Linked DNA regions of Oryzias latipes. The main gene of each other region encodes a partner of the protein of the gene in region 7 in a complex. Links are inferred from orthologs where the notes say so. Each region holds a gene or a part of one and is shown on either strand. Other genes may lie near its edges.

Region 1 (4,144 bases), on a different chromosome or scaffold from region 7:
TGATTCCTTCATCCAGTCTTCTCAGAAAATCCAGAGGTTTCAGGTCTGAAGGTCTTTTCCCATCATCGTCTGTCCTCTCAGAGAAGTTTGTCCCGTTCTGAACCACGACATCGTGAGAACTTTGTTCTTCACAGTCCTCAGACAAATGAATCCCTTTCAGGTCTGACAGAACAGGGATCGACAGAGACTTCTTCAGGAAAATAGAGTCGTTGGTGTAAAGCCTATTTGCTCTCTTGATTTGTTCCATCTGGAAGACAGAAGAATGTTGTTGTTTTTTTTTTAAACTAACAAATGTCAGAATCAAAAAAAATTATGTCATAACATAAAACCAATGAATAGATTTTACTTTTAGTGTGGAAACAAAAGATGTTCCTTGTTAATATTTCAAATTGTTTTAATTGTCTAAAGTAGGGAGTACAAATCTGGTTTATTATACTTACAGAGACTCCATACTTCAGGGCCAGACCTTGGAGCGTGTCTCCGGACTGAACCGTGTGTTCAACGTGTCTCTGGCGGACCGGAGACGCCGGCGACGATCGCATCAAGCTGCCGTACGACATAGCTCGGCTTCCGCGAAGAAGACCGCCTCTCCCGGATGGCAAAGCCGCTCGTTGTCCGGACATATCCGATAATTATTTATGTGAAAATCATCAGTAACACGTACGCAATTTTAATGTTGGAACTGGTTTGACGTCGTCCTAAACTAGCAAGCCCAGTTCACCTGCTAGCTGCTAAAGTATCGACTAATTCATCTTCTTCTTGCCAAAGTGCCGAAATGGCACTGCCTGAACCTTATCAACAGTCGGGAATTGAAGAAAAACTACTTAAAACACCTTAAACATAGCTTAACTGTCAGTAAACAATCTAAAAACATATCTAAAAACTTTAAATATGTTGTTTTTTTCAGTCAGCTGCAGTCTGTTGCCATGGCTGCCGCTGTGAATGACGGCTCTCATTGGGTGGGTTGTGTTCAAAGTAATTTGAATACTGAAATTTAAATGAAAACATAACATTTTTATTTTTTTTATTTTAATCAGAGTTTGTTTAGTATGAATTAAAATTTCATTGATTAAAATAGGCAGTTTTTTTCCCCTTCGCGATTTATTTACAAAAAATATGTGATGTTATAAACATTTCACATCGATGCTTTCTTAAGAGTACATGCAAACAAATCAATTTAAATGTAAAATAATATTTTAACAATGGTTTGTTAGACTAGTTAACTTGACCATAAATAAATGAAATGGTACGATGGGAAACTGCAACGTGGTTAGCTGGAAATCGTGGACAAAAAAAGTGTACATGTTTGTCCCTGAATGCAGCACTACCAACACTTCCGGGATAGTGTGACGTATAGAGAAGCTAGCCCAATGAGTTAACTCATTGAGCTAGCCGTTAATCTGGTGTTTATACCATTGATTTACTTCGATATAATTATGTCATTCAAAAGGGAAGGAAATGATGGGAGCCAACTTAATATTTTAAAGGTATTTAAAATGATATAATACATTGTATTCATAAAAGAATAGGCTTTCTTAAAGTTCATACGCTGTCGTTTTTTATTTGTTTTGCTAGCTTAGCTAGTAGCAAGTTTCATATGGATATAATGTACACAGAGTAAATGAAAACTGTTTGGTAAAGTATTTAATGTAAATTTTTCATCTGCTATGAAATACTTACTGATGATTTGGGCTGTTGGTTTACAGAAACGGCGTGTATCTGACCTTTTGTCCAATTTTATTCCGGAAGATGAAGCTGCTCTTCTGAGTAATGGCAGGTGAATATAACTAAACCCTAAGTGTCAGTTTTGTTGTGAAAGTAACTCACCTTTCTGCGTTCGCTCCACACAGGTACACGTGCCTTGTGTGTTCGTATCGCCCAGTGTTTGACACAGTTGACATGTTGACAGTCCACAGGCAAGGGAAGAAGCATTTAGAAGGTAAATATCCTCCTTAAAAAGTGACTCTTAGTGTGGAAAATTTTTAAATTCCCCAGTATAAAAGTGTCTTGGTGGTCATATTTAGATGTAGACAAAACACTGTAGGCTCATTTCTCTCAGATAGTGTTTGCACATTTGGCCCCAAACAGATCTTCTGTGTTGTTGATGTAACAGGTGTGTCATATTAAGGCACTAATGACAGGAGGTGTGAGCATCATTCGCCTGACGTTCGTTGTTTTCCGACATTAATGCTACATAACAGAGTATTGGTAGAAAATGGATGTAAATGTCACTCCAGAATGGGTGTGACATGTAAATATGTCATATATGTTTTCTTATTTTTTAAATAAAGTTTTATTATGCATGTGCTTTTGGTGCATGCTTTTATATCCGTTGTGTTTTTTTGTTTTGTGTTTTAGGTTTAAAATCCTTTTATGGGAAAAAGTCAAAGTTCAAGAATGAAATTGCAAAAAGAAAACATGAAGATTATGTCAGAGCAGAAGACAAAGAGGTTTGGAGCTTCAACTTGATCATTTTACCTGCGGGTAATTTTGTATTTTGACCGACCGACCGACCGACCGACCGACCGACCGACGTACCGACCGACCGACCGACCGACGTACCGACCGACCGACGTACCGACCGACCGACCGACCGACCGACCGACCGACCGACCATCACACGAAACAATGACATGATGACCGACCGACCGACCATCACACGAAACAATGACATGATGACCGACCGACCGACCATCACACGAAACAATGACATGATGACCGACCGACCGACCATCACACGAAACAATGACATGATGACCGTGTGATGACCGACCGACCGACCGACCGACCGACCGTTTTTACAGAGACGACTAAATACTTAGTGTTATTGTGGTTAAATTTTTATTGTTGCTGAATTATAGTACTTTATTGACTTGTTTTGGAATGACAGTTGTAGAAAGGATGCACCTCCTGTACTCCTGTAAAGATATTATGTCGCTGCTTGTAACATGTTAAATATGGATATAAGAATAAGTCGTATTCTTGTGTGACATCCAGTACGTGCTTGTGGCTGCCACGTGACTCAGACAACCTGTAGACTCTGCAGCGTGAGTTGAAGCGGGTGTCTGCTGGTGGAAAACATGAGCAGAGCCGGCCAGAGGACACATGGAGCATTTAGCTGAGTTGGAGTCTGTCAGAGCTCAGTCTGAGAGACAAGTCTCTTTTGTTGTGATTGCAGGAGCCCTCCAGTTCGGCACCTTTACTGGCACAGACCCGGAAACTTACCCATCATGCTCTTCTGAAGACTGTTCCATACAACAGCTGCCACAGAAAAACCAGGTTGGTCATCATTTAAGGTTAAAATACTCATCTGTAGTTTAAAATGGAAGTAAAGATGTGAACATATATCTGTTTATTTATTTATTTTCAGTACAAAGTTGAATAAAGGACAGTCGAGCACTGCTGGAAACACATTTCAACACAATTTCCCATCTGCATGTTGGAAACCAGAAGTTTCTGACAATGCATCCACAAGTGATTCTAGTGATTGTTTCACAGGTAAAATCTGCTCCTAGAAATCATATTTTGATATTTTATTTAAAATAACTGATGGTTCTGTTTCAACTGATGCTTTTATTTTTATTTTTGTAGAGTCTTGTTCATCCAAAGACAGAATTCAGTGTCAGTCTGAGTCGAGACAAACGGCAGAACTCATAACGCCGCAGAGGCGAAGAGAGATGGAGCACTACCTCAAACTGAAAAGGTGCAAAACTCTCTTTTCCTTTTTGTCACCAGTGCTAGATTGAATCTGCAGGCCACAGAAACTATGTTTTAGAAACTCTTAGCTTAACAGTCCAAGCAGTAAACTGATAAAATGAGTGAAGTCCTCTGCCTCAGGCTCCACACCCAGCTCCTCTCCAGCATCTTCACATGCGGCCCGTTGAAATTATTCTGCTTCCTTGATTTGTTCTCTCACTCATTTATTTGTGTTTGCACCATTTCTGTACATTGTGATTTATAGGGTAACAAATATATGGGATGTACACAAGACTTGACATTTTAAAACATCTGCGTCCAATCCTGACATAAACAAATGGCACGCCTATCAACAAATAAAGTAATAAATCCACCAAATCTTAACAAAGTTCTTCAATAAACGTATGGAAGGTTGAGATAATAAATTCATAATTGTGAAAGTTTATCA
Region 2 (4,072 bases), on a different chromosome or scaffold from region 7:
AAATATTGGCATTAAAAAAAAGAAATTTCCTTTCCAGGGACTAATTGTAGAATTCCTAATTCTAACAATTATAGTCTGACTTCCTTGTTTTTGCCACGATTTCAGACCCTCATGGTGTATTTTGGATAAACGAGGAATGTTTTTCTTTTTTGGATCAGTGTCCTTAAATTGAACTTTTGTTTACAGGGGCGTTTACATTTGTTCATACACAAAAGAACTCAAAAGTGTTTTGCTTTCTCCAAAAACCCCAACTATGGTTCCTATGATAAAACAAAAACAATTTTTTTCTGCAGCTCTAGACATTTGAGCAGGATTATTTTTAATACATCTGTATTTATTTATTTAAAGATCTGAGCTTTGTCACTTCTTGTCTGTCATGTAGGATTTTTCTTCCATGTGTGACATATATAAAGAGTAATGAGTGGATTCCGATCTTACCCTCGCTGTGGCATCTCTGCTGCACGTCATCAAGACATCAATAGTTGGATGAAGGTCCAAATCATACACAGCACTGAGGTGGCCATGATAGTGCCGGATTACCTAAAACACAAAATACTCATGTCACTAAAACACCAAAACTCTGACGTATGAAGAAAAAGAAAGAAATGACTGAACTTTTTGTCTTTGTTTATATTCAAACAGCCCTAAAATGTTTTTTTTTAGAGATATTGTGAAGAGAAGCTTGTACCTTGTTGTACTCTAGATCCCAGCATTTGACTTGCTTATCCTCTCCGCAGGAGAAAAGGTACGGACTGCGGCTGCTCACCGCCACTCCACGCACTGTACTGATGTGTCCAGTCAGAGACAGTTTCAGCTTCCCACTGGCCAGGTCCCAGATCTGAAGGAAAAAGCAAGTCTCATGATATCCTTTCCCTGTAACAAAACACTCCTGGTTCTTTTTTTTTTTGCTGTTCCACCTCAACAAATGCAAAAAGGAGAAGAAAAAAAGCTTTGTAGTGTAAAAACAGTATAAAAACAATCAGAACAACGTATTGTATAAATAAAATAAAAAATAGAGAAGAGATAACCTTTATTGTTCTATCTGCAGATCCTGTCACAAACCACTGATTTCCAGGCTCCACAGCGATGGACCTGACCCAGCCCAGGTGGCCGCTGATGACCTGTCAGGTGACAAAAACCTTTTTAGTAATCACGTGAGATGTTGCTTCCCCTCCGTCACCGGATTTGACACAACTGAAAAGGAGTTCAAGGATAATTTGCAGTTACTCTAAAGAGTTTCCAGGGAGGATGCCACTGCGGTTTGGGCATGACCGGCGTTCTCCTCAAGAGGTTGGAATTTCTGGTGCCGCCTCCTTCCAAGAGCAGCTGCAACGAACAGATTGTTGCGTTAGAATTTTGTCAACCAAGACTGGGTGAGAAAAAAAAGCGCTTAAGAAGCTTGTGATGTACCAGAGCGGTGGACTGAGCGTGAGCTCTTTCTGCTCCACGACGGATCTCTGCAACTGTGGCTGCAGTGCGGCTGGACTCTTGTCTAAAACAGCCATCAGAAGACAAAAAATAGATATATCAATGAATCCCGAAAAGTTGATTCAGTACTATTTGTATTGATTGACTGAACAGGATTACCTTGCTTGTGATGGTGGTAAAGCCAGAGCCAAGGAGTGGATTCCTGACTCACTGGGGTTTCTGTGCACTTTTGTGTCAGCTGTCAGGGCGACTCCTGTTGGGTTAAAGACATAGATAATAAAAAGCTGGCTAAAAAAATGAATAAAGTTCCTTTAAGCTTGGCTAAAAGGAAAGTATTTACCAGGTCCAGAGGGATAAGCGTGCGTTCCCGTGATCAGATATTCAGGATCATCTGCTGAAGTTGTCGGAAACCAAAGACAAACAAGAAAAAAAAGTCAGATTTTTACAATTTAAAACCAAAAACACTGAACGGTGATGCTTCCCACTCACCCGGCTGCATGTAAGCTTCGTTGTCGTGGAGACCGTCTGGATACTGTGACATCCTGTCCTTTCCTTCTTTTAGCACTGGCATGTGTAACACAGGACTGTAGTCTGCCTTTAGCTTCACGGCCAACTTCAACTTGTGGCTTAAAACGAAAAAAAAAAAGAGGAGCTTCAACGCAAACCCACCCGTGTGCCCACGTGAAGTGGAAACATATAGACAAACCATCTCCAAGTGCCAAAGATGTTTATAATCAAAACATGAAAAAATATATTTTCTCCCAATGCATGCCTAAAAGGTTAAAGTAACCCTTTTGATGTGAACTATTGCATAATAAACTAATAAACATATTATGAACGCACGATTAGCATGACCGTGAGTTTTAACTAAAGTGATGATACACATTTTAAATACAGAAGTCATAAATGTAAAAGCTCAGTATACCTTTCATCATCTAAAGCGACGGCTTTAGCATGGTCAGCCACGAACATGTCATGAGTCCTTTTCAAGGATCTGAAGACCAAAGTGTGGACTGAGTGTTTCTGGACTTCCTGTAACAATTAGAAGGAAAAAAAAGTTTACTTGAAAGACGAGTCCATGTGATTTATCAGGGGGGATACACTACAACGTGTGAAGATTCAGAACGTTAACATCCAGTAGTTAGACGGGTCCAGTGCTGTGTGAGTCTAAAGCGTGGACCAAAGAAAATCAAATAACTCAAATAAAGTCTCACCTCGGTCATTGTGGCGATAATAAAGATTGATATCACACTGCAGTTAAGTAGTTTTCGGTGAATATAATCCACGAACACCGTAGGTGTAGCAAAGCGACAAAAACAGTCCACCGCCGCGACAAACGAGTCTGCATGACCCGGAAGTACAACAGCCTGAAAGGCTAAAAGATTTATTTTATGAGCGCCCTCTGGCGGTACGTCTCATCCCAGCGTCTCACAGTGGCGGAGATTATGTTTTTCTATTATCAAGCCCCCATTTTTCGCAATTTCTCCGGGACGTTTTGAAATACATATACATATTTTAGGGGGTTTCAACATTTTTTTTAATTATTCAGTAAAAAGGCAAATTTAAACAGTTCTGTGCCGTTTACACATTTGGTGCAGAAATAAATTAAGGGTTCATATAAAAAAATAATAATAAAAAATAAAACATTTTGTTTTTGATGTGAAAAAGAACTAGTGTCTGGGAATTACTTATTCCCCTTTGCTAATGACCATTCTTCCAGCCTCTCATACATGTAGGCTGGACACTACTGAGTCTGCTCTATTTAGAAGTTCACAATTGTTGATTTTATCCACAAGTTGGTTTGATTTGTTTTAGTTTATTAATCTTTTGCTGTTAAATTTCCCTTTTAAACCAATTTTATTATTTATTAAATATTGTTTTAATAAAAAGGTTTCACAAAAAAAGCAATGAACTCATTTATTAAGAGATGAAATAATTTACAGTAAATATTTCAAAGGAAAATTTGATTTGGATAAATTCCTGCAACAACCAAAGCAGCCTGAAAATAGTACAATCATCTAATCTTATATAATTGGATTCCAGTTATTTCTTGGTTGTCAATGTATTATTAGTGCTCTGAAGATACATTTTCAGGTTTTTCTTCAGTTCTTGCTGTCCTTATCTATGCTTGTAATTTCATTTTCTACCTCCTGCCTTTGATTTCAGTGGTTCACAGCACAGTTGATTTTCATCAAAGACCTGAAAATTGTGTTTTCTGTGTTTTTAACATGTTCTTCAGCCATTTTTCTCATGATGGAGGACATTTATAAAGAAAATTTAGCTGCAAATTGCATTTCGGAGTATTTCTTTATTCAAATGTAAATCAGGAGCAGATAAAAAAATACTGTTTGAAAAAGGTTGCATTTGATATGCAGAAAATACCCTAGGTGGGTCAGAAGCTTCCTGCTCTGTGCTTTGGGGAAGGGGGGCAGGATTGCTCCACACCAACAGTCCTGCCCACAACTCAGAGGTGATTTTCTAATGACTTACTGTTGCACTGCAGAAACTATGTCTTAGAAAACGATACGTTTTTCAATTTGTGCCAAAAAGTGGCACAATTAAAAAGCACAGGGAACGCTTTTCTAATAGATCAAAAGACGATCAGAGTGGAACTTTAAGCGTTCTGTGTTCATAGGGCCTCTTG
Region 3 (4,071 bases), on a different chromosome or scaffold from region 7:
CTTTGTCCCGACCCTCCGCTGTCTTACCGAAACACTGGGAAAACAGAACCCAGCGGATGGGGCAGATGCCAGTTGGTTTGGCCTTTTTCTGCTTTAGCTTTATGTTCAGCTGCTCCTGCAGATGAATGACATCTTTCCTCGTGGTAATGGCTGTAGATACTTTCTGCACCCACTGTTGGTCCCCCTCTGTCCATTCTCTGTAATGGTAAGAAATCAGAATTTACTTGGAAAATCATTTGACAGTAACTTTTGGATGCTTTCGGGATCTTAGATTGTGTGTCAGCTTTTTATTTTTGAATTAAGTAAAAAGCAGACGTATGTGTGATAATGCACCTGTGGGCAATATTTGCTGTCAAGACTTGATCTTTTTAAGTTGATGAAAGTTGGACATTCACTGAGCTACAGGACCTTTCCTCTTTTCCTTGTTAGACATTAGGATTTGTTGGTGATCTTTGGATCACATAAAAACTACATTTGTTCCAACTGTAGCTGTTCCACTGTGTTGTTTAAAGTTTTTTGAGTTACATGGCATGAAAAGCATCTGTTTTACAAAAAAAAAGCCTGATTTTATTTGATTTCCCAGATTTGACTTTTGAGAAATAAAAGTTGAGGATGGTCATTGTGCTCTGGTGCATGCCACAGTCTATGTTTGTCTGCATAACTTAGGAAGAAGAATAAATAATAATGAATCTAGAATAAATAAATCTGAATCGTTGTGCTTAGGTGAGCTTTTGAGGTTTTCTTTTACCTAGGTGGTAAGATGGCATGCAAAATGTTTTCATCCAAATTCTGTGTAGGGGGAGATGGAACACCTGCTGCAAAGCTGGGAGCTGGAAGGTTGCTCAACGTTAGAGTACGTCCCTATTAACGAAAAAAAAGGGGGGAAAATTGTACATTTATTTGTATTATTATTTTTTTGTAATTTCTTTTATTATTTTTGAAGATTTTATTTGGTAGCCTTTCATTGTCCACAATAAAGAAATTATGGAAGTACAATGAGATTTCTAGCCTTAATTGATATAGTTTCTGGGCGCCAGTTAAATAGATCATTAACCATCAAGACTTACCTTTTGAGATTTTTTATCTCCTTTTGTTTTTACCAATATCGGATTATCGTATTTCAAGAGGGACTCGCCAAAAGAAGTCATCGTTTTGAGGTGAGAGAGCAAGTTACACGTTTTGTTAGAAATACCGTTTCACTGTTTGTGTTGTCATGGCGACACTTTTTCAAAATAAAATAATATTGATTTGAACAAAGTTTCATTTAAGAATACTTTTTATGTAATACGACACGTATATGTGTCATCAATGCTTCAGTCTATGACAAAAAAAACTTGAACATCACGTTTTCCCCATTTAAAACGAATTAGGCCATGGCGGAACCAACAATAGGGAGCACATGGAGCACGTCGAGGGGATTAATTTGAGTCACCGGAAACGGAAGTTTGTTTTCACAACGCCAGAAGTTTGGTAACGCATCAAAGGTTTTATTTTTTATCTTGGCTTGTCTTTGTCTAGCTACTGTGTCGTGTTTTGGTTGAATTGAGCTCAAATTTATTGGAAAAATAAACTAAAATGACTAAAGAAAAGCGAGACAGAAGAAGGGAGTCTCCAGAACGGCAGCCCGAAGTGAAGATAAAGCAGGAGAAACTGAGCCCGAGTAGCACTAGCAGGCCACACAGATCACGCAGTCCACAGGGGAGACGAGCTAGCAGGTAAATGTCTGAAGGTTTTACTACGATTCATGACGTAAAACTGTCTAAATATAAAACAATTCACAACATTATTTTTTTGTTGTACTTTCGCTGATGAAAATCTAGCTTCCGGTTTTCATTTTTGACGGTTACGGAATAAACACTTAACGTAAGGGATACCCGGTTGCTCCAAAAGAGTTTTGATCTGAGGTTTCTGTAAATCAAATAATCCTTAACACGTTTGTGTCAAAAGTAGTATAAGTATCTGACTCGTATCAAGTAAATCTTGTTTATTGTTCTAAGATATTTTATTACCGTCTTGCTGATAAATCAAGGTTAGACTAGAGACATAAAATTTGCTTTAATTTTTTTTTTTATTGAAATATACTCATTACAAAACTCTGGCAGACACAACAACACAATGATGCAAGGCACAGCTCTTCACGAAAAACAAAGATAAAAAAAAAACAAGAATGTATACATATATAAAAAAAACTATCAGCATAAATTAAAATACAAGGCAATCAACAATCTGGACCCTAGATTTGTAACCATTCTGTAGCAGATTTACAAATGTCATCAATGAAAGAATTTGAGTTGTGAATACATTTCAATGAGGATAAATACAATCTGACTTCATTTTTAAAACACAGGAAATTCGGCCGATCTTTTTTCCACTTTTGCTTATGAATATATTTTCCCAAAATCAGGAGGATGTTCACTATTTGTTGGCTCTTTTGGCAACTTACTGTTTTAAAACAAAATATGTTTTTCTGTGAATTGTATGTTGTTAATTTTTTGACTAAGCCAATTATGAAAATCTTGCCAGAATCTTTCACTGGTCTGGACATGAAAAAAACAGGTGTTGGGTTGTTTCTGGGGTTACCTGACAGAAATCACACGGATCAACCTCAAAGCCAAATCTACTTCTCAATGTCTCTGCCGATGGGTAATAATTGTTTATAATTTTGAACTGCATTTCTTTAATTTTGGGAACCACTGGCCATTTTATGAATTTCCATAGTTGAGCATCTGATGTGACAGGTGTCTCAGTTATTTTATATTTCACTTTTCTGTTAAAGTCATGGTATAATTTACCTCTAAAGGATTTGTTTAGCAATTTATTATCACGTTTTTTTTCACTAAATTTTATTTCTCCTATTACTAAATTTGGTAGTTTAATTTGAACATAGGAAGACAATATTGTATTTTTTATTAAATGTATTGAAGCAATTGGAATTGCTCAGCAGGTTTTCTGAAATTCCTCGGTTGAGCATTCAATATCATATTTACCTTTGAAGTCTCTTAACTGAAGAATTTCTCCATTTGAATCAAGAATATCACTTACAAAATGATCTTAAGATAAATATACTTTATTGATCCCAGCTTGGGAAATTGGGTTGATGCAGCGTCGGCGTTAGGCTCAAGGTACAAACATACAAACAATAGATGACAACAGAGAACCAGAACAATTTTATTTATTTTTTTATTTGAAATGGTTTATTTCAAGCAATTAAGTAGAAATAATACACAACAGCAATATAATCATCAGTTATACATTCATACAGTAACTAATCAAACTTAGGATAATTATACATATTAATAAATATTGCTTGAAAGGGAGTGGAAGGAAGCGAATTTATATAATCCCACCCCGTTATACTGTAACCATTTTATTACATGATTTATCAATATCCGGTTCCCAGTTTATATCATACAGAATTAAAAATCATAAGATATCGATAAAGCACATGACAAAGATGAATTACTTAAGTATTACGTCAAAAATAACTATTTTAGAAATCAACATGGCAAATGCAGATCAGTCATCTGAAATATATGCAGATTATGTTACTTATAAAAGCCATTCATATGAATAAAACATAATACTATATCAGTAAAGTAGACACAACACTGTTTCAGGAATTTTCATAGCAAAATTTCATCAAGTATCAAAAGTTAAAAACATGTGCAAAATTATGCTACATTAGGAAAGATTTTTGAATCAATTTATCAATTTTTGGAGAAAGTGAAATAAAATCATTAAAAGGCAATCAATTTAACAATTTTCAATAAGTCATTAATCATTTGTTTTACTTTTTTAAATATTTTTTTTGTATTTTTATTATTATTTTTTTTATAATAAAGTAATGCTGTAGGGGGAAAGTAAAAAGGGTCCATAACTGTCGATTGTCCAAGGTTGGTCTTTCTTCTTTAACTGATAACAGCCGTACTTCTGGGTTCAAAACAGAGTTTATAGTTCTCTTCGATGTTATGACTGCAGACATTAGATTCAGGTCCATATCCTTCTTCAGCTGATATCAGCGACGGTGAAAGTTGAGGTCAAGTTGTCTGCAGGTCAGAACTCTCTGCTGTT
Region 4 (4,174 bases), on a different chromosome or scaffold from region 7:
GGTGTGCTTCAATAATTTCCCTCTTTACAGATTCCCTGGTGCCATGCTCAGCAGTGAGCGTGTTTCTGCAGAGATCCTGGTTCTTGATTGGCTGCCTGGTCTTTTTCCTTCATCACAATGACAGCTGATGGCACTGAGAAGAGAACAGTCAGGCTTTTGCAGATACTCACTAAGCTAAGCACTTTCGCTTCTGTCACAGAATAGATCTCTCTTCCTTCTGTAAAAAACACTGGTAAATGTTTCCACTGTAGACGATTTAAATGTTTAGGAGCTGAGAGCTGTGAGTACTGAATGTAAATTAACCATTAGTAGAAATGAAAGTGCAGCTTTTTCGTCGAGGGAGACAGTCTAATGGCAGACTAAGAGATGCAGTTGCTGACTTATTAATGAGGTATTATTGATTTTATGTTTTCTTTTCTTTTACATTAAAAAGCACTAATAGTTTTTGTGGCCTTTTCCTCACTGCAAAAGCAGCAAATTGATTGTGTTCTTGTTTGCTTGTTAATAAAAGAAGAGCTCTGTGAATTTGCTTGTAATCATTTCATTTATGATTGAACAAATATAATTGTTTTGTGTGTTTGTTTGTTTTTGTTGTTTTTTTTAAATCATAAATCAAAGAACACTGTTGACAGATAAATACCAGTATTTGGAAATGTCACATTTTCTCAATGGAGCCTAAATGCATTGTCATTCATGGAAATCATACTAGACCAGCAGCTGGTTATTACTGTCTTAGATAAACAATAACCCATGACATTTAATCTGTCTCTACATATTGGACATGACATGTAACAGGGACAATATTTAGGTCTTTTTGTCTCTGTTATAAAAAGCAAGTAGTGACGGCCTATATTTTTGAAAAAGTTTTAGTGTAAAAAAAATGATCGACAAATAAAAAAATAAGAACAAGAATTGAAATCGTATGCAAAGAAGAGTAAAGACTTTTACAATTCAAAAACATTGCTCTCCTGTCTTTCTAGGCATCGGTGTATGACCGACTAAATTTGTGGGTCAATTAGGGAAATCAGGCAATTTTAGCCTTTTTGGTGACAGTCATTATTTGTATGCCAGTCACTGGGTCCCACCACAGACACAGTCTTGCAGCAGATTGTGGCCCAGTAGTTATCATTTTTAACTTCTTTGGAGTCAACTTTATCTTCAATGTATTTATTTATGCATAACAGTAACTTTTTTGTTATAATAATAATAATAATAATAATAATAATAATAATAATAATAATAATAATAATAATAACAATAATAACAATAATAATAATAATAATAATAATAATAATAATAATAATAATAATAATAATAATAATAATAATAATACAGAAACGCGTCTTCTTCCTCGTCGTCTACATTGACCCTTGACGCGACCCGTAGTTTCCCACAATACAAAGATGGCAGCGGTCGGTGGTGGAACCGGACCCGAGCTTTCTAAAGCTGAGTACTTAAAGCGGTATTTATCAGCTGACGACAACCATGGTGCATCTAAAGGAAAAGGCAAGAAGAAACGAAAAAAGCTTCCTGAAACAAGGTGAGTACCGAAATACTGCGCCGTTTGGCTTTCTGTTAGCATCCAAGCTAGTTTCCTTATGCTAAGCTATTTTTGATTTGGAACTTTGTTTCTATGAGTTTAATCGTTTTTATTTTGTGTTACTTCGTTGTTTTTATCTAGACTTAAAATAGTAGACGATGATATTGATTGGAGACAAATGGTCCAACAGCAGCCGGATGTCGAAGAGGATGAAGAGGAAGCTCCGGTGGTGAGTTAGCTAGCAGCCTTGCGTTAGCATTTCCCCCGCAGTACGGTCTACTATGTTTAACTTTTACACGCATGAAAGTCTGATGGCGATATTTGATTTGATGATAATAAAATGTATGTCTTTCTTTTTTGTTAACATTATTGAAATGTAAATCCAGACGTAACACAGGAATTTCATCTGACGTGAGATTGAATTGATCTGCTTTAATGCAGGATAATCGATGCAAGATAGATTTGACACATTGGTTTGAATGAAATATGTGGGAAACTTGCATTGTGTGTGAAGCAGTCAACACAGATGTTTGAACAGAGTAAATAATGATTTGATTTGGTCTATGTTATGTACATTAAAGTTTTAAAGCCAAGGAAACCTAAATTTTGTACTTTGATTTACCTTCTCAGATTGCAGAGTTCATCGATGAGCGGCCAGAAGAGGTGAAACAGATGGAGGCCTTTAGGACCAGTAACAGATGGAAAATAGTTGGGGGTAACTATAAAAGCAGTATATAAATTTGGCTTCTTTTAAATTATGTTGTTTTTCATATTAACTGTGTTGTTCTGTAGCGGATGAAGACGAAGACAAAACAATTGACGAAGAAAATGAGCAGGAGGAGCCTTTAACATCTAAAAAAAGTCGGCATGACTCACCAGAGCTGTCATCGAAAAGTGGGAGACATGGTTCCCCTTTCAAAAAACCAAGACACGACTCTCCAGACATTTCTCCTCCTAGGAGAGGACGCCATGACTCTCCGGATAAATCCCCTCCCAGGAGAGGACGCCATGACTCTCCGGATAAATCCCCTCCCAGGAGAGGACGCCATGACTCTCCGGATAAATCTCCTCCTAGGAGAGGACGCCATGACTCTCCGGATAAATCTCCTCCTAGCAGAGGACGCCATGACTCTCCCAGCAAGTCTCCTTCAAGGCAACATTTAAGGAAGTCTGGGAAAGTTAAAAGTAAAGGTGAGTTTTATTTTACAGTTAAGATTTTCTTTCTTGCTTTTATACAGAACAATGCTCATTTTGCACAAGTCACTGAAAAAGCTGAAAACGGCATACCAATGCCATTTAAGCATTGAATAAGCTTAAAGCTGGAACCTCTTAGATTTTTGGGTTATAGTAGTTACTAAAAATATCAATAGTTATATTGACACAATAAAATGTTTATGTAAAACACATTTATTTTTTTCTATTTCATATTAGGATTACTAGTTTTGCTCTCTGCACTCTAATATATATAGTGCAAACATTCTCTTTGATTCTCAGAGTCTTCTCCCACTAGAAGGAAGCCCAGCTCATCGTTACACGGTAAACCAAGGTCGCCAGATGATCGGCGGTCTCCTTTAGCTCATAAGACTAAGGTTAGGCTGGATTCAGACTCCGATCAATCTCCTCCACGGAAAAAGCAATCGAAGCGAGAAGCTTCCGACTCTGACCAGTCTCCCCCTCGGAGACGCTCCAGAACAAGGCAGAGATCCGATTCCGACCAGTCTCCACCAAGAAAGCACTCGAGGAGTGGAAAGGACTCGGATGGAGATCTGTCACCACCACGGAGACCTGGCCAGTCTCATGTGAGGGATCTGCGCTGTTCAGGGATTCGTGTGAAACCTAATTTGCAGCACAAACCCCATCTAATATTTTTGTGTGTTTTTCAGGACCACAGGATGCTTTCCGGAGGAAAGGCTGGTTTGGTATCTGTGGAGATTCTAAGGGAAGAGCAAAAGGAAAACCGACGCAGAGAAAAAAAGAATCAACCTCTTGAAGGTTGGCCTTGCTTTTGTTTTTCAGTTTTACTTTTAAAAAAAAAGAGAGTTTGAAACAACCCTTTTCTTATCGTATAACTTTAGACTTTCTATATTTCTGAAGTACCGGTATATGAAAGTGTTTTTATACTATTTATACTATTTACGCATCAGATGAATCTCGTAATGCGGAGACGGTCTTCCGAGACAAAAGTGGCAAAAGGAGGGATTTGACCTCAGAAAGGGAGGAGCAGAAGAGAAAAGCAGGAGAAAAGGCTGCAAAAGATGAAAAATATGCCCAGTGGGGTAAAGGGTAAATCCACAAAACCATACCAAGTCACTGAAAATGCTACTTCCACCACATGTAAGAAGACAAGTTATTGTTTGTGTTTAGGCTGGCTCAGAATCAGATGGAGCAGCAGAAGCTGGAGGACGCCCTGCTGGAAGCCCAGAAGCCCTTGGCCCGTCACCGTGACGACGAAGATCTGGACCGCATGTTGAGGGAGCAGGAGAGGGACGGGGATCCCATGGCTGCCATGCTTCGGCGGAAAAAGGAAAAAAGCTCAAAAACACAAGGTTTGAAACATTCTACAAGTTTTTGTACTTTTTTTTTTTTTTTTACTCTTCTGATGGAAAAATTTGGGCATTAGTACTTCAAGTACAG
Region 5 (4,032 bases), on a different chromosome or scaffold from region 7:
CTCACAGCAGGAGAATTGTGGCCGTTTATTTCCAGCACAGTCATCGTTTGGAGAAAGGCTGCAGAAAGCAGCTAAAGGCGACCCACCTCCATGGCATCCTGGTCATTCTCCATCAGCTCGCCCTTCTTCTTGTGAGTGCCGGCTCCTTTTTTGGTTTTGACGACTGTCACAACTTTAGTTACCATCATCGCCCCTTTCTGTGGGAAAAAAAGAAAACAAATATCACCAACAGAAGAAGAAAAACAGACGCCAAACGGAAACAGCGTCTTATCCAACAGCAAAATATAAATAAGAAAAATGTTAGCGTGAAAACACTTTACTCACTTTGTCATTTCCCTTCATGTCACTCATGTTGAACTTCTTCACCTCCTGCTTCACCTCCTCCATGTAAGCATCCAAAGGATCCACTTCGTCCTCCTCCGCCTGCTGCTCCATGGGAGTCTCCTTCTCCTGGTCTCCATCCTCCTTCTTTTCCTCCTCTATCTCCTTTTCTTTTCCTTCTTCTTTCCCGTCTGCACTGTCGTCGTCCTCTACCTCCATTACCGCCGAGTTTTCCTCATCATCATCTGAAAGGAAAAGTTTATGATGAGCAACTATCAAAATCCCCTGAACTGGTGAAGAGATAAGTCAGCTGTTGGAGAGTCAAACAAAAATGTGAATCCTCACCTTCATCGTCCTCCAAGCTCCACTTTTTACCCTGCTTCATTTCCTCCAGCTCCTTCTTGATCTCTCCAATGTTTTCAATTGCTTTCTTCCTCTGCTCCTCCCTCCACTTCTCCACTCGCTCCTTCCTTTTCCTCATCTCCTCCTCCAGTTTGTTCTGGTCAAAGTCTTGCTGCTAAGATGAAAGGATGCTATGCTCATCTGCTGCTACATATTTCAAACAAACATTTTTCTGCAGGTACTTACATCCTCCGTCTTCTCATCCTCTTTCTCCTCTTTCACTTTTTTCTTCTCTGATAGGGGATCAACACTGTCTTTCTCTTTGCTTTTAGGCCTGTGAGTCAACATTAAAAAAATAAGCATATACAGCTATTTAATGTTAACAATATAGAGTTTGAGTGAAACTTTGTGATTACATGAAATTGTAGATCTAGTAATAATTTCTTAGGTTATTACAGTTTTCTTCTCAATTTGACAATCATTATGTTTAATGGATTCAATGTGTTGTAAGTGCACTGTGTGTTTAAGTGCAGATATGTCCATTTAGGAATAGTAGCCATCATTTTCCTTCTTTTATGGATGAATTTATATATGATATAAAATAGATTTGATCCATCTGTTTTTTTTTTGTCCCTTTTTCCTGTGTTTTTATTGCTGAAATGAACCAAAATCAAATCAATTAATCCATTTTGAATTTAGGTTCAGAAACATACATGAATTTGTTCATTTTGTCTGTAGACAGAAGGTCTTCAGTAGTCTAAAACTTCTCACTTTTCATCGTTCGTTTTTTTGCTCTTTCCTGCGCTGCCGGACCGGGACCTGCGGGCTCGACTCCTGCTGGACGACCTCTTTCTGTCGCGGCTCCTGGACCTCCTCCTGTCTCTGCTTCGGGAGCGCCTAGACACCAAAGGAAACCAGAGAACAGACGGGGGAAAATAAGATATCAGTCCGAGATTTCAGCACTTTACTAACCTGCATAAACTGAACAGACTTCACACTCCTGGTGTGGGATTTATATTCAGGATTACTGTTTAGCGATTCTCAATATTAATTCCTCAAATATTTCAAATGTTTTTTAATGAAAAACGTGCACTAAATTGTAATACTTGATCTGTGATACGATATGGTTTCCAGAACAATGTTGTCTTCTTACATAATGAATATGGACTTTACCTTTGTTTGATAGTATTAATACTTATGGATTTATGTTAAAGGCCTATAATTGTGTTTGTTAAGTAAAATAACTGATCTGAAGTTAAGAACCGGTTATTGATCATTTATGTAAAAAATTAAAAAGTTAGGTAAAGCAAAATAGGGTTGAGATTAAATGTTTGTTTCCTCCCACTCCCTTTAAAGCAAATAAACTCCTTTAGACAAACCTGATATTTATTTTTTTCTGTGCGTGTTGTGTTCTGTAAGCATTAGAGCTAACATGTCTGTTTATGATTTGGAGTAATTATAATTTATTACATGTGTATGAGAGTTTGATATGTTTCTGTATGAATATTTCTGTTTTGATTCCTTGAAATAAACCATTTATTTCCAAACCCAAATCCAAAAGGACCCCTCACATTGAACTGACCGTAAATCCTCCTTTCACTGCTCCAGGTTTAACTCACAACACTCACCTGGCTCGTTTTCGGTCTCTGGATCGGGACCTCCGACGGTCGCGGCTCCGTGACCTGTCCCTCCTGCTTCGGTCTCGGTCATCTTTTTTGGAGGACCGTTTTTCGGGGGACCGACTCTTCGATCGGGAACCTGACCGTCCACGAGACGCCGAGCGTTTCCTATAATGCCTGAACCGAAAAAATATAGTTGTCCTTTAACGTTTAACTATTTCAGAACTGTTATAGAAGAAGCACGCACAATGCATTTGCTACGGACAAAAACATAATCTTTAGCTAGCATGCTAATGCTAGCCACTCAAATCAACGCTACTTTAAAATTTAAAGTCAGCTTTTATCAATGAAAATAAAAAAGTAAATATTTAAGAGGTTACTTACGCATACCTTGACTCACGAGCCATTCTGATGTAATCAATGTAGCCTACTTAAGATTAGTGAAATGCTGCTCGATGGAACAGGACTCAAGCGATGCACCAACGTCTAAATCGGCCTAAGTCAGACAACTTCACGACTGAATCTTTTATGGCGCCGCCCTGTGGACGGAGGGCGAACAGGTCCGGAAGTGCAACACAATCATTTTTTGAAATAAACTTTATTAACAAATATTGCATATACACAGAGTATCAAACACTGACAAAAATATCAAATATCAAACACTATGCGCAAATGACAAAATGTTCACATTGCCAGGAAAATGAACAAAAATGTAAAAATAATAATGGCAAAATAAAATAGGTTAGAAAAATAATGATAAAACAAAATTATTATTTGTAAAGGATTTCAAATGTGACCATGTTTAAACTAATCTAACAGCTGTTTTGTAAGTGCATGATTCAATATTTACATACAGAATAGTGCAACACAATCATGCTATGCACTTAAAACAAACATGACCATCCAATGTGCTATATTTATATTACATTTGAGAATCTATTACTGGTTTGCAACTGATAAATTAAAAATAGGCTAAATCACTCTGTTAATCTGCCTCTTTAATAATGTATAAACAGCAATGAACTTTCTATATAGGAACAAAAGACTTTCTATTTACATCCTTGGCATTTGCTAGGTAAAAAAGAAATGTGCCTGATTTTTGATTGCTTTAATTTTCAATTTAAAAAAACCTGTAATATGATGCAGGTAATAAGGATTTCGAATCACTTTTGGTTGTTATTGAACATGATTGTGAGTGTTTGAGACTGTACACTAAAAGTAAGAACCCAAATTCAAGCTGCTCTTGGCTAAATCTTAGAATTGTAAATGAATTTGAACTTTTTTTTATTAAATCTGATTTTTACAGACGCCCCCCCCCCCCCCCCCCCCAAACATTTACCAGCAATAAAAAGAGAAAACAAACCGTCAATTTATTTTAAAAACAAAACACAAACCTGTATTTTAAACACAGTTTTTATTTGGTATGAACCAACCGCATCAGAGCGGACACAATATTACAATCAGCCTTGATGTTTTATTTATTTAATTCACAGATTCATTTACAGGAAAATAAACACACACAACAATAAATTAACTTATTTGAAGTTCTAGTAGAGTTTGAGGCTTGACATGACCCTGGAGAAACGTGCTGCAAGCGCTTTATAAAAACTTTGAGTCTCGCAGCAAAGCAGAACATGTCACAAAAAAAACCAAACACAAATATGCTCACAAAACTCCCTCTCACTACACAACGGAAGATTTAGGTCTAAATCTTAACACAACTTTGAGTTTATACACATTTCTATAAATG
Region 6 (4,260 bases), on a different chromosome or scaffold from region 7:
TTTTTATTGTGCTGGTTAATGTGATTAATACCTTTTTTAAGCTGTTTATGCTCCTCCTGTTGCTTTTGTTCAGTTTGCTTTGCGCTTCTCTGTGCTTCCTGCAGTGAAAACTCCAGTTGTTCTATATTTGTTTGCTGTTTTTCTAGTTGTTGTTCAAAATCCTTCTGCACTGTTTTTAGTTGAGATCTGATGGCCTCACGATCCGTTTCAGCTGCTGCTACTCTGTCTTGGAGGGGCAGTACCGTTCCCCTCACATCCTGCAGGTGTTTTGCCAGCCTGCGCATGTCTCTGAGCTGTTCATTGGCCCACTGTGCAACATCACCTGGAGTCAGATGTCCCACCCTCACTGTCTCATCCACAACTGCTGAGAGAGGCTGCAGAGATGAGGGTAGACCTTCACTTTGAAACAGATCTATCAAAGATTCTCCAGTTTTTCTCAAAAGAGATTGCACTTGGTGACATGTACCACAAGGGATGAGGGACGTTTGTGCAGTCTGGCAGCTGACATTATGGGAGGCAGTTTTAGGATGGAATGAGGTTTGTTCGGGGGAACTGATGGTGATGTTATTTTGTGGGAGGAATTTAAATGAGCTTGTGGAAGACCAGGATATGGAAGAATGCCTGGAGCAACTTGTGCTGGATCTATTGAGAGGGGACTCGACGTTTGACTCATCAGATTCCACTGAATTTGTCTTTTCTGCAATGTTTTTGAAGAGTTCCTAAAAAGACATAAAAGGCATTTAAAGTCAAATACTTTTGCATGTGTTTTTATCCCTGTGGCATTACTAGAAAAAGAGGTTTCTTTACCTTTTTATCTGCAAATTGAAGTAAATCCCCCCAATAATTCCTGACCACAAGACCAACTGACATGCTGCCTCTGTGTGCAGCTCCTTCTGGTCTGTGGACCCCCATCTGTTGTTCAGCATAAACGCTGACGCTTTGAAGAAGAAACAGGAGCCTTGTTGGGGAACAAGAACATGCAGAGATGCTTTTAAAGTCATTATATATATATATATATATATATATATATATATATATATATATATATATATATATATATATATATATTTTACATGCAATACAACATTAGGTTACCTGTCAATCATCAATTCCAGGAGAATAATGTGGGAATGCTGATTGAAGTCATCTTCTCCTGCCACGAAGTCATATTCCTCCAACAAAGCAACAATGTCTAGATGACAGGAAAGTTTGTCCGGGAATTTCCAGGAGGAAGCGCAGACTGGTCCTGTTCTGGAGAGCACGTCCAGAACCGCACCCTGAATATCGATGAGGTCTTTTCTTAGATTCTTGATAGAATCCTGACGACCCAACAACAAACTCATGTCTAAAACGCTTATTTGGCGCCTATAAGTACTTGTTGACGTGAGGTCTCCTTGGCAACAGTTAACTCCAAGTCCCACAGTTCTTAGCGGATATTTCCGGAAGTAATTGGCCGCCATTGCGTTAACGAAAACGAGACGCGGTGAGTATTAACGTCGACAAATAAAGAATTATAGCTGTATTAGCTATTACTTTTTGACTTACAGAATTTTTTTTAAAGAATTCATTTCAAAATATATGTGTGTTGCTTTAGTGTTTTCAGGTAAAATTGGTGATTCGTTAAAAAGACGCAGCCATGCCGCCCGGGCCTGTTCAAATGGTTCAGCCTGAGCCTAACAACAAGGTAAGGACGCTAACTAGCTAACATTAGCCTCAGATATCCGTCGCTTTTCTTAATGATTTATCGCCTTATAAAATTCGCCCCCTTTATGCAAAGCTTTCTAAGCCTGTCCAAAATTAAATGCTAATGTTTATAAAGCTGTAAAACATATGGGGCAACGTTTGCGTCTATATGTGTGGCCCTAAAAATTCCCAAGTTGAGAAAGTCAATAAAATTAGGTAACAGATATTACTTAAACTATGATTGCACTTCAATATTTGGTATCTTTGCATATGGTTTAGACTAAATGTGTTAGTTGTATTCTCAGGTTTTTAATGATCGAGTGGTTTAATGTTTAAATTGTTGCAGTGTATCTTAGAATTACCTAAAGTAAGTCTTATTAATTAATAAGTGAATTGATAATGTTTGTGTAATAATATTTTTAAGGAGGAACTTCACTGTACTTGATGTTATTTTTAAATATAAATATTCTTACTTTGAACCTTCTCTTGTCAGAATGATACACCTCCGGAGGAAACTCCAGCCACTAAACCTATTGTTGGCATCATATATCCTCCTCCTGAGGTCCGTAATATAGTTGACAAGACTGCGAGCTTTGTTGCCAGGTTGGTTGCCAAAGAACTGTCACGTACAGCTGTAAGAGGTGTTTGCTATCTGTAGTTTGACTCTATACTTGTCACTTTACAGGAATGGGCCTGAGTTTGAAGCAAGAATCCGTCAGAATGAGATCAACAATCCAAAATTTAATTTCCTCAACCCCAACGATCCCTACCATGCTTACTACCGCCACAAAGTCAATGAGTTTAAGGAGGGCAAAGCTCAAGAACCGTCCGCCGCAGTGCCCAAGGTTATGCAGCAGGCTATGCAGCAATCTCAGCAGCTTCCACAAAAAGTAAGGACTGTCTATTTACTGTGCCCGGACCTACAAGGGTTTATATTTATACAAACTTGCCTTTTCTTCATCAGGTGCAGTCCCAGGTGATTCAGGAAACTGTGGTCCCCAAAGAACCGCCTCCAGAGTTTGAATTCATAGCTGATCCTCCATCAATCTCTGCATTCGATCTTGATGTTGTGAAGCTCACTGCCCAGTTTGTTGCACGAAACGGCCGTCAGTTTCTCACCCAGCTCATGCAAAAAGAACAGAGGAACTACCAATTTGACTTTTTGAGACCCCAGCACAGCCTTTTCAACTACTTCACAAAACTGGTGGAACAATATACCAAGGTAAAGGACAAAAATTACAGCTTTCTTTGTTTTTTTATTGAAACTGTGTTATTGAACTTTTTTAAATGTTGCCTCAACCTTTAGATTCTGATCCCCCCAAAGGGTCTGCTGGCCAAACTAAAGAGAGAGGCTGAGAATCCAAAGGAGGTTATGGACCAGGTAATTTATTTTAGCCTTCAGAAGATTATTTTCTATGTTTAAAACTGTCTTGTTACAAACATCAGGTGAGATACCGTGTTGAGTGGGCAAAGTACCAGGAGCGTGAGAGAAAGAAGGAGGAAGAGGAGCGAGAGAAGGAACGCGTAGCCTATGCTCAAATTGACTGGCATGACTTTGTCGTGGTGGAGACTGTGGACTTCCAGCCCAATGAACAAGGTAGCATGACTATAGGAACACCAGGTCCAGATGTTGCAAGAACCATAGTTATTAATTTATTCATTTGGTGTTTTTCCAAGGCCACTTCCCCCCACCTACCACTCCAGAGGAGCTTGGTGCTCGAATCCTCATCCAGGAGCGCTATGAGAAGTATGGAGAAAGTGAGGAGGTGGAGATGGAAGTTGAGAGTGAGGATGAAGAGGATGAACGGGAGAAACGAGCCGGAGGTCAACCCTCACAGCCTGACCAAGACACACAAGTGCAGGACATGGATGAGGTAAACAGTTATCATTTACTACATTTATACAAAGTCCAACACTTGTCTAGGTTTCTTGGTTACTTGTGTAGCAAATTCACAAATTTAAAATGCTACTTCTCCAGGGATCAGATGATGAGGACGATGGAATTAAAGCTCCACTTCCACCTGACAACCCCATGCCACCTCCTCTGCCCCCGACTCCAGACCACGTCATCATTCGAAAAGACTATGATCCCAAAGGTACATTTTTTTCTGTGATTGAAATATTATGAAGTATAAAAACAAGCAAATAAAACAAGCGGTGCATTAAAACTTGTTTCCTTTTTTTTTTTTTTTTTTCACAGCCTCCAAGCCTATGCCCTCAGTTGCAGCTCCAGATGAGTACCTCATTTCACCAATCACTGGTGAGAAGATCCCAGCCAGCAAGATGCAGGAGCACATGCGCATTGGTCTGCTGGACCCACGCTGGCTGGAACAAAGAGACCGCAGCATCAGGGATAGACAGACAGAGGATGAAGTCTATGCTCCTGGTCTGGATATCGAGAGCAGCTTGAAGCAGCTCGCTGAGAGGCGTACTGATATCTTTGGTGTTGAAGAGACAGCCATTGGTAAGAAGATTGGTGAAGAGGAAATCCAGAAGCCAGAGGAGAAGGTGAGTTCCGTAGAAAGTAGCATGGTTTTTGTGAAAAGCATCATTTGAACTCGTTTTTTTATCAACCTG
Region 7 (4,149 bases):
GCAGCAGAACATGCATTATTTATAAACTTTAGTGATGTTCTTCCTTTAAAATGGAGCTTCTTTTAAAAAAAAAAAAGGAACGAGGTTGTTCTGTTTCTTATTCTGTGTCATAAATAGCATGAAAGAAATTATAAAATATTGGAATCACTGAAAAATATTGTAACTTTACTTGATTTATGTAGCACATTTAGTAATACTGACGAAGCAGGGTTTTTTGCACACGTGAATACATGGCCACTGGTCACATACTGACATCTGAAAACCATCAGACCATTCCTGTCTAATGTAAAACTTTAATGTAAAAATTTAAAAAAACATTCAACCTCCTGAGAACCGAGGAAAAAAAGTGTCTTACAATTCCTGTTTTTATGTGATTTCCTATCTATTTAGGCCTAGAACACCTAACAATTTTAATTTTTTTAAAAATATTTTTTATTGTAGATAGAAGACAACAGGATGATATTTCTGTGAAAATAGAGATCAATTTGGAAAATCAGAAAAAAGGAGCAGATTAAATCTTTAGAGTGATATTCACCCAAAAAACATTAGATGATCCTCGAAAATATTGTTATCGATGTACTGTGAAAAGTACGAGATTGGACTCCAGTATTCACAAACTTTGGGGTCATCTTGAGCGGGGCGCCCTGCTAGCACAGGTGTAAACCTGTGATGATGTACGTTTAAAAAACACAAAAAAAATCAAGTTAATAAAAAAAGCAGTTTTTTTTTTTTCCATTTAAACATAGTACAAACACTACAATGTTCTAACATGGTCATAAAATGTAAGACATTAGCCTGAAACTAAATAAAACATGCAAGTTAGTCCTGGTCCACAGAGCACGAAGACTTTGCTGCACCTTCTCTGACTCATCAGATTCTCCTGAATTATCATCTTCTTCATCTTCATCATCACCTATCACAGACTGAATCTCACCCTCCTCATCCTTTTCATCATCCGAAAGCTCCAAATATGAATCAACCTTCGACTATCTGGTACAGAATCCTCTCAGCTTCACTTCTTTCACCTAAAAATAATGTGTAGCCATTAAATAGATTAAAATGGTCCTGGTGTCCACTACAGTTGACATTCATTAAATGCCTGCTGTTTTAAAACCGAAAACCTGAAACTGTTTTCAGATCTAAAAATATTGTTCCTAACCTGTTTATGACCAAGAATATATATAATTATCATTGTAAAAAAAAAAAAAAAAAGGAATAGATACAGAATATTTGACTTGCCTTTCACCTTTCCATAAAATGAGGTTTTATATGTCGTTCACTTTGGTGTCCACCTTTACCATCGCGTTAGGAATAAAAAGTCGGAACAAAAAAAACACCGTCTCGGTTTCTCACCGGTTTGTTAAGTCGAAGGCAAACCGGAAGCCAGCTTCTGCTCGTCGCGGTGTGTTCGGACGGACGCAGTTTTTATCATCTTTTTCAAGCTTCACCTGTTTTTCAAACCCGCGCTTTTCAAGTAAGTTGACCTTTTATATGTATATCATCGATGGCCACATGGAAGTTGCACCGCTGGCTACGAGAGAAACTAAAGTTCAGGAGTTTAAATAGGTTATTAGCCGAGACCCAGGCTAATGATATAGGATCAAGCTAACAAAGTAAAATGTAACTTTGTTTTAAAGGGATAGTCGTGCTTTCAAAAACGGTCATATACCATAAATGGTAAATATCTGCAATAAAGTATGACACGATTTTATTTAATTTCTGGTAGTTGTGCATTATATTGATTTTCCTCATGGGAAAATTATCCATTGACTCTCCGAGGAGTCCTTTCCTTAAGACCAGAATTTCTAGCAGTTTAGCTAGGCTAAAAGGTTCAAATCTGCATAGCTGTGAGAAATCCGTCGTTTTCCTGTAATTCTAACAAATCAGTCATGCCTTTGTTTTTAATTTGTCACACTAATTCAAAACTTGTTTCATGTTATTGAAAGGGATGATAATCTAAGAAATACAGAATTTGTTGGTGTGCAAACAACAAAACAAAGCTTTTGTATTTCATTATGTCAAAGTAAACTGCATATGATCTGGAGAAAAGGGACGTAAGAAACATAAGGGGAAAAGTCTGTATTAGACATTCAACTCTACGGTTTATTAATATTTTTGTTTTTACTGAATATTTTATTTTGATGTTTATACACACCACTGCAAAGTATAGTAATTTAATAATTATTCTACTTCTACACTAGTTTAATAATAGACTGGTGAATGGGTATGTGTTCAATGTGTCCTATAAGATTTTTGTGGGGATGCTGGGTAAGTAAAGGATAATAGCTGACAAGGTGTCTTGACAGTTTAAGCTTCCTTGTCGTCCGTTAAAAGACGGATAATGACCTTTGAGGTGTCCATTATCAGAAATTATACCATGGTACGGGTGAATACTCAATTCTGATTGGCTGCTGAGTGTGCATTAAAAAAGTGATAACCGCACGTCTAAAAAAAGAAGTTCCAGTTACATTGCTTAGATGTTCTGTGTCACTGCGCCGGCTTTTTTAAAACAGACATTTGTTTCATCATCTGGATAAAAACAAGCGGTGAGCGGTGAACCTTCATTCTGAACTGATGCTTTAATTTAACATACACCATCATGACGATCAGCTTATTTATGGCTTTTACTGCTGCAGTGGAGGTCGGTGCCAGCTCAGCGTGTTGTCATGTTACGGTAACGTGACAACACGCCACACCATGTTGCAAAAAGTCCGCTTTTTTTGAAAAAAGCAACGTAAACCGAAAAAATAACAAGAATAAATGACTAAAAACTGATTGAAAATGTATTTGTTTTGTAAGTGACCATGGTAAAAGCAGGATAATCAACGCACTAATAATCAACGGAAGCATCGGGCAGTTTGGGTTTCCACGGCGTGCGTTAATTTCTGGCAACGTATACTTTGTTGGTGACTATCCCTTACTTAATCCCCACTCAGCAGCCAATCAGAATGGAGCATTCACCTGGACCATGGTATAACTGACATTCATTGATATATTTGAAGTTTAGCAGTTGGATGTGGTAATCTTTACTTTCAGATGCTCCCCACTCATTGGAGAGACACATAATAGAATTTTATAGGCTTGTGAAGTGTATTTACCATTAGCCATGTTTATAACATTTGCTTCTTAAAGGTTTAATTTATTTACATGTACCACCATATAATATAAAAAAGGCATTATTTTGAGTTTTTTTTTCCTTCAAATTATTTTGTTTTTATCTTTGAATTGTAATTTTCCTCACAAATGTCACAAGAATAACTAAAACCTTCTTGTTTATGAGTTTATCTGACTGGATCGTCTGTTTGCTGAAGCACAATTCAAATCTCTGATTTACTTTCTTTCTCCCAGAGCCTGTTGACTGATCTCAGAGAGAATGACTGACCGATACAATATCCACAGTCAGCTGGAGCATCTCCAGTCCAAGTACATCGGAACAGGGCATGCTGACACTACCAAATGGGAATGGCTGGTGAACCAGCACCGTGACTCTTATTGCTCCTACATGGGTCATTTTGACCTGCTCAACTACTTTTCCATCGCTGAAAATGAAAGCAAAGCTCGTGTTCGCTTCAACTTGATGGAGAAGATGCTTCAGCCATGTGGACCACCTGCAGACAAACCCGATGATGCATAAAACACAGCCCAACCAACTGCTGCAGCTTTTTTTCCCTCTTACCTTTTCTTTTTTTCAGTTTTGGACGGTTGTTTGTTTCTAACCTTGAGGTCAGAGCAGCCAGTAAAATCTGGTATTCATGTGTTCACTGAAGCTATTCTCACTTGTTTGATCGGTGAATACATTAACTGTAGTGCTTTCAGGAAACGAATGAGAATGACGACACCTGAACTTATCCATTTCAGAAAATGTTAAAAATGTCCAATATGTGCACAATGTTGAACTGTTGTATTTCTAATGAAAACATTATTTTTCCTTTGGTTAAGCTCTTTCACTGATCATTTTATTCTGGAAATATGTCAGTTTTCTAAAACGCATTTAAAAAAGTGAGAACGTTTAAATGAATAAATCATCCAAACAAGACGTTTTATTGTAAAAAGAAAAAGACCAAAGTCATCCTTAGGACTTTGTTGAAGGAGCAGCAATGGCTATAGCAGTGGTTTTGTTTTTGCTTAAAATATATGATTTTGTTTTTT

What was found.
Region 1: sf3b5 (region 7) and scnm1 share a complex: the UniProt entries of both Homo sapiens proteins name them as parts of the minor spliceosome. The link is inferred for Oryzias latipes from reciprocal best matches to the Homo sapiens genes SF3B5 and SCNM1.
Region 2: sf3b5 (region 7) and plrg1 share a complex: the UniProt entries of both Homo sapiens proteins name them as parts of the minor spliceosome. The link is inferred for Oryzias latipes from reciprocal best matches to the Homo sapiens genes SF3B5 and PLRG1.
Region 3: sf3b5 (region 7) and snip1 share a complex: the UniProt entries of both Homo sapiens proteins name them as parts of the minor spliceosome. The link is inferred for Oryzias latipes from reciprocal best matches to the Homo sapiens genes SF3B5 and SNIP1.
Region 4: sf3b5 (region 7) and bud13 share a complex: the UniProt entries of both Homo sapiens proteins name them as parts of the minor spliceosome. The link is inferred for Oryzias latipes from reciprocal best matches to the Homo sapiens genes SF3B5 and BUD13.
Region 5: sf3b5 (region 7) and ddx46 share a complex: the UniProt entries of both Homo sapiens proteins name them as parts of the 17S U2 SnRNP complex. The link is inferred for Oryzias latipes from reciprocal best matches to the Homo sapiens genes SF3B5 and DDX46.
Region 6: sf3b5 (region 7) and sf3a1 share a complex: the UniProt entries of both Homo sapiens proteins name them as parts of the 17S U2 SnRNP complex. The link is inferred for Oryzias latipes from reciprocal best matches to the Homo sapiens genes SF3B5 and SF3A1.

Annotation. Positions count from the first base shown.
Region 1 is NC_019874.2:27,122,062-27,126,205, reverse strand, and holds the start of scnm1 (sodium channel modifier 1), read left to right. Parts: upstream 1-1,344; 5' UTR 1,345-1,436; coding exon 1,437-1,487; intron 1,488-1,706; coding exon 1,707-1,777; intron 1,778-1,850; coding exon 1,851-1,939; intron 1,940-2,358; coding exon 2,359-2,450; intron 2,451-3,178; coding exon 3,179-3,279; intron 3,280-3,370; coding exon 3,371-3,498; intron 3,499-3,591; coding exon 3,592-3,703; intron 3,704-4,144. Other genes in the region: lysmd1 (lysM and putative peptidoglycan-binding domain-containing protein 1), read right to left, coding at 1-247, 441-623. UniProt on the Homo sapiens protein: As a component of the minor spliceosome, involved in the splicing of U12-type introns in pre-mRNAs. Plays a role in the regulation of primary cilia length and Hedgehog signaling.
Region 2 is NC_019859.2:20,801,112-20,805,183, reverse strand, and holds the start of plrg1 (pleiotropic regulator 1), read right to left. Parts: upstream 2,801-4,072; 5' UTR 2,652-2,800; coding exon 2,643-2,651; intron 2,461-2,642; coding exon 2,354-2,460; intron 2,055-2,353; coding exon 1,918-2,054; intron 1,823-1,917; coding exon 1,769-1,822; intron 1,682-1,768; coding exon 1,588-1,681; intron 1,493-1,587; coding exon 1,411-1,492; intron 1,327-1,410; coding exon 1,228-1,326; intron 1,122-1,227; coding exon 1,029-1,121; intron 839-1,028; coding exon 689-838; intron 541-688; coding exon 439-540; intron 1-438. UniProt on the Homo sapiens protein: Involved in pre-mRNA splicing as component of the spliceosome. Component of the PRP19-CDC5L complex that forms an integral part of the spliceosome and is required for activating pre-mRNA splicing.
Region 3 is NC_019874.2:23,603,914-23,607,984, reverse strand, and holds the start of snip1 (smad nuclear-interacting protein 1), read left to right. Parts: upstream 1-1,271; 5' UTR 1,272-1,399; coding exon of another isoform or gene 1,400-1,470; 5' UTR 1,471-1,575; coding exon 1,576-1,715; intron 1,716-4,071. Other genes in the region: dnali1 (axonemal dynein light intermediate polypeptide 1), read right to left, coding at 28-197, 749-861, 1,068-1,148. UniProt on the Homo sapiens protein: Required for pre-mRNA splicing as component of the spliceosome. As a component of the minor spliceosome, involved in the splicing of U12-type introns in pre-mRNAs. Down-regulates NF-kappa-B signaling by competing with RELA for CREBBP/EP300 binding.
Region 4 is NC_019872.2:13,070,039-13,074,212, reverse strand, and holds the start of bud13 (BUD13 homolog), read left to right. Parts: upstream 1-1,374; 5' UTR 1,375-1,403; coding exon 1,404-1,540; intron 1,541-1,681; coding exon 1,682-1,769; intron 1,770-2,170; coding exon 2,171-2,255; intron 2,256-2,332; coding exon 2,333-2,731; intron 2,732-3,034; coding exon 3,035-3,339; intron 3,340-3,423; coding exon 3,424-3,532; intron 3,533-3,684; coding exon 3,685-3,823; intron 3,824-3,904; coding exon 3,905-4,086; intron 4,087-4,174. Other genes in the region: uncharacterized protein LOC101171185, read left to right, coding at 31-128. UniProt on the Homo sapiens protein: Involved in pre-mRNA splicing as component of the activated spliceosome. As a component of the minor spliceosome, involved in the splicing of U12-type introns in pre-mRNAs.
Region 5 is NC_019872.2:3,750,681-3,754,712, forward strand, and holds the start of ddx46 (probable ATP-dependent RNA helicase DDX46), read right to left. Parts: upstream 2,801-4,032; 5' UTR 2,690-2,800; coding exon 2,667-2,689; intron 2,460-2,666; coding exon 2,292-2,459; intron 1,561-2,291; coding exon 1,435-1,560; intron 998-1,434; coding exon 910-997; intron 839-909; coding exon 667-838; intron 567-666; coding exon 325-566; intron 198-324; coding exon 87-197; intron 1-86. UniProt on the Homo sapiens protein: Component of the 17S U2 SnRNP complex of the spliceosome, a large ribonucleoprotein complex that removes introns from transcribed pre-mRNAs.
Region 6 is NC_019867.2:18,886,040-18,890,299, reverse strand, and holds the start of sf3a1 (splicing factor 3A subunit 1), read left to right. Parts: upstream 1-1,460; 5' UTR 1,461-1,483; intron 1,484-1,594; 5' UTR 1,595-1,636; coding exon 1,637-1,684; intron 1,685-2,176; coding exon 2,177-2,286; intron 2,287-2,368; coding exon 2,369-2,573; intron 2,574-2,647; coding exon 2,648-2,905; intron 2,906-2,989; coding exon 2,990-3,064; intron 3,065-3,129; coding exon 3,130-3,280; intron 3,281-3,360; coding exon 3,361-3,557; intron 3,558-3,661; coding exon 3,662-3,779; intron 3,780-3,883; coding exon 3,884-4,191; intron 4,192-4,260. Other genes in the region: ccdc157 (coiled-coil domain-containing protein 157), read right to left, coding at 32-719, 808-958, 1,096-1,460. UniProt on the Homo sapiens protein: Component of the 17S U2 SnRNP complex of the spliceosome, a large ribonucleoprotein complex that removes introns from transcribed pre-mRNAs.
Region 7 is NC_019873.2:17,221,611-17,225,759, reverse strand, and holds the start of sf3b5 (splicing factor 3B subunit 5), read left to right. Parts: upstream 1-1,349; 5' UTR 1,350-1,474; intron 1,475-3,348; 5' UTR 3,349-3,373; coding exon 3,374-3,634; 3' UTR 3,635-4,149. UniProt on the Homo sapiens protein: Component of the 17S U2 SnRNP complex of the spliceosome, a large ribonucleoprotein complex that removes introns from transcribed pre-mRNAs.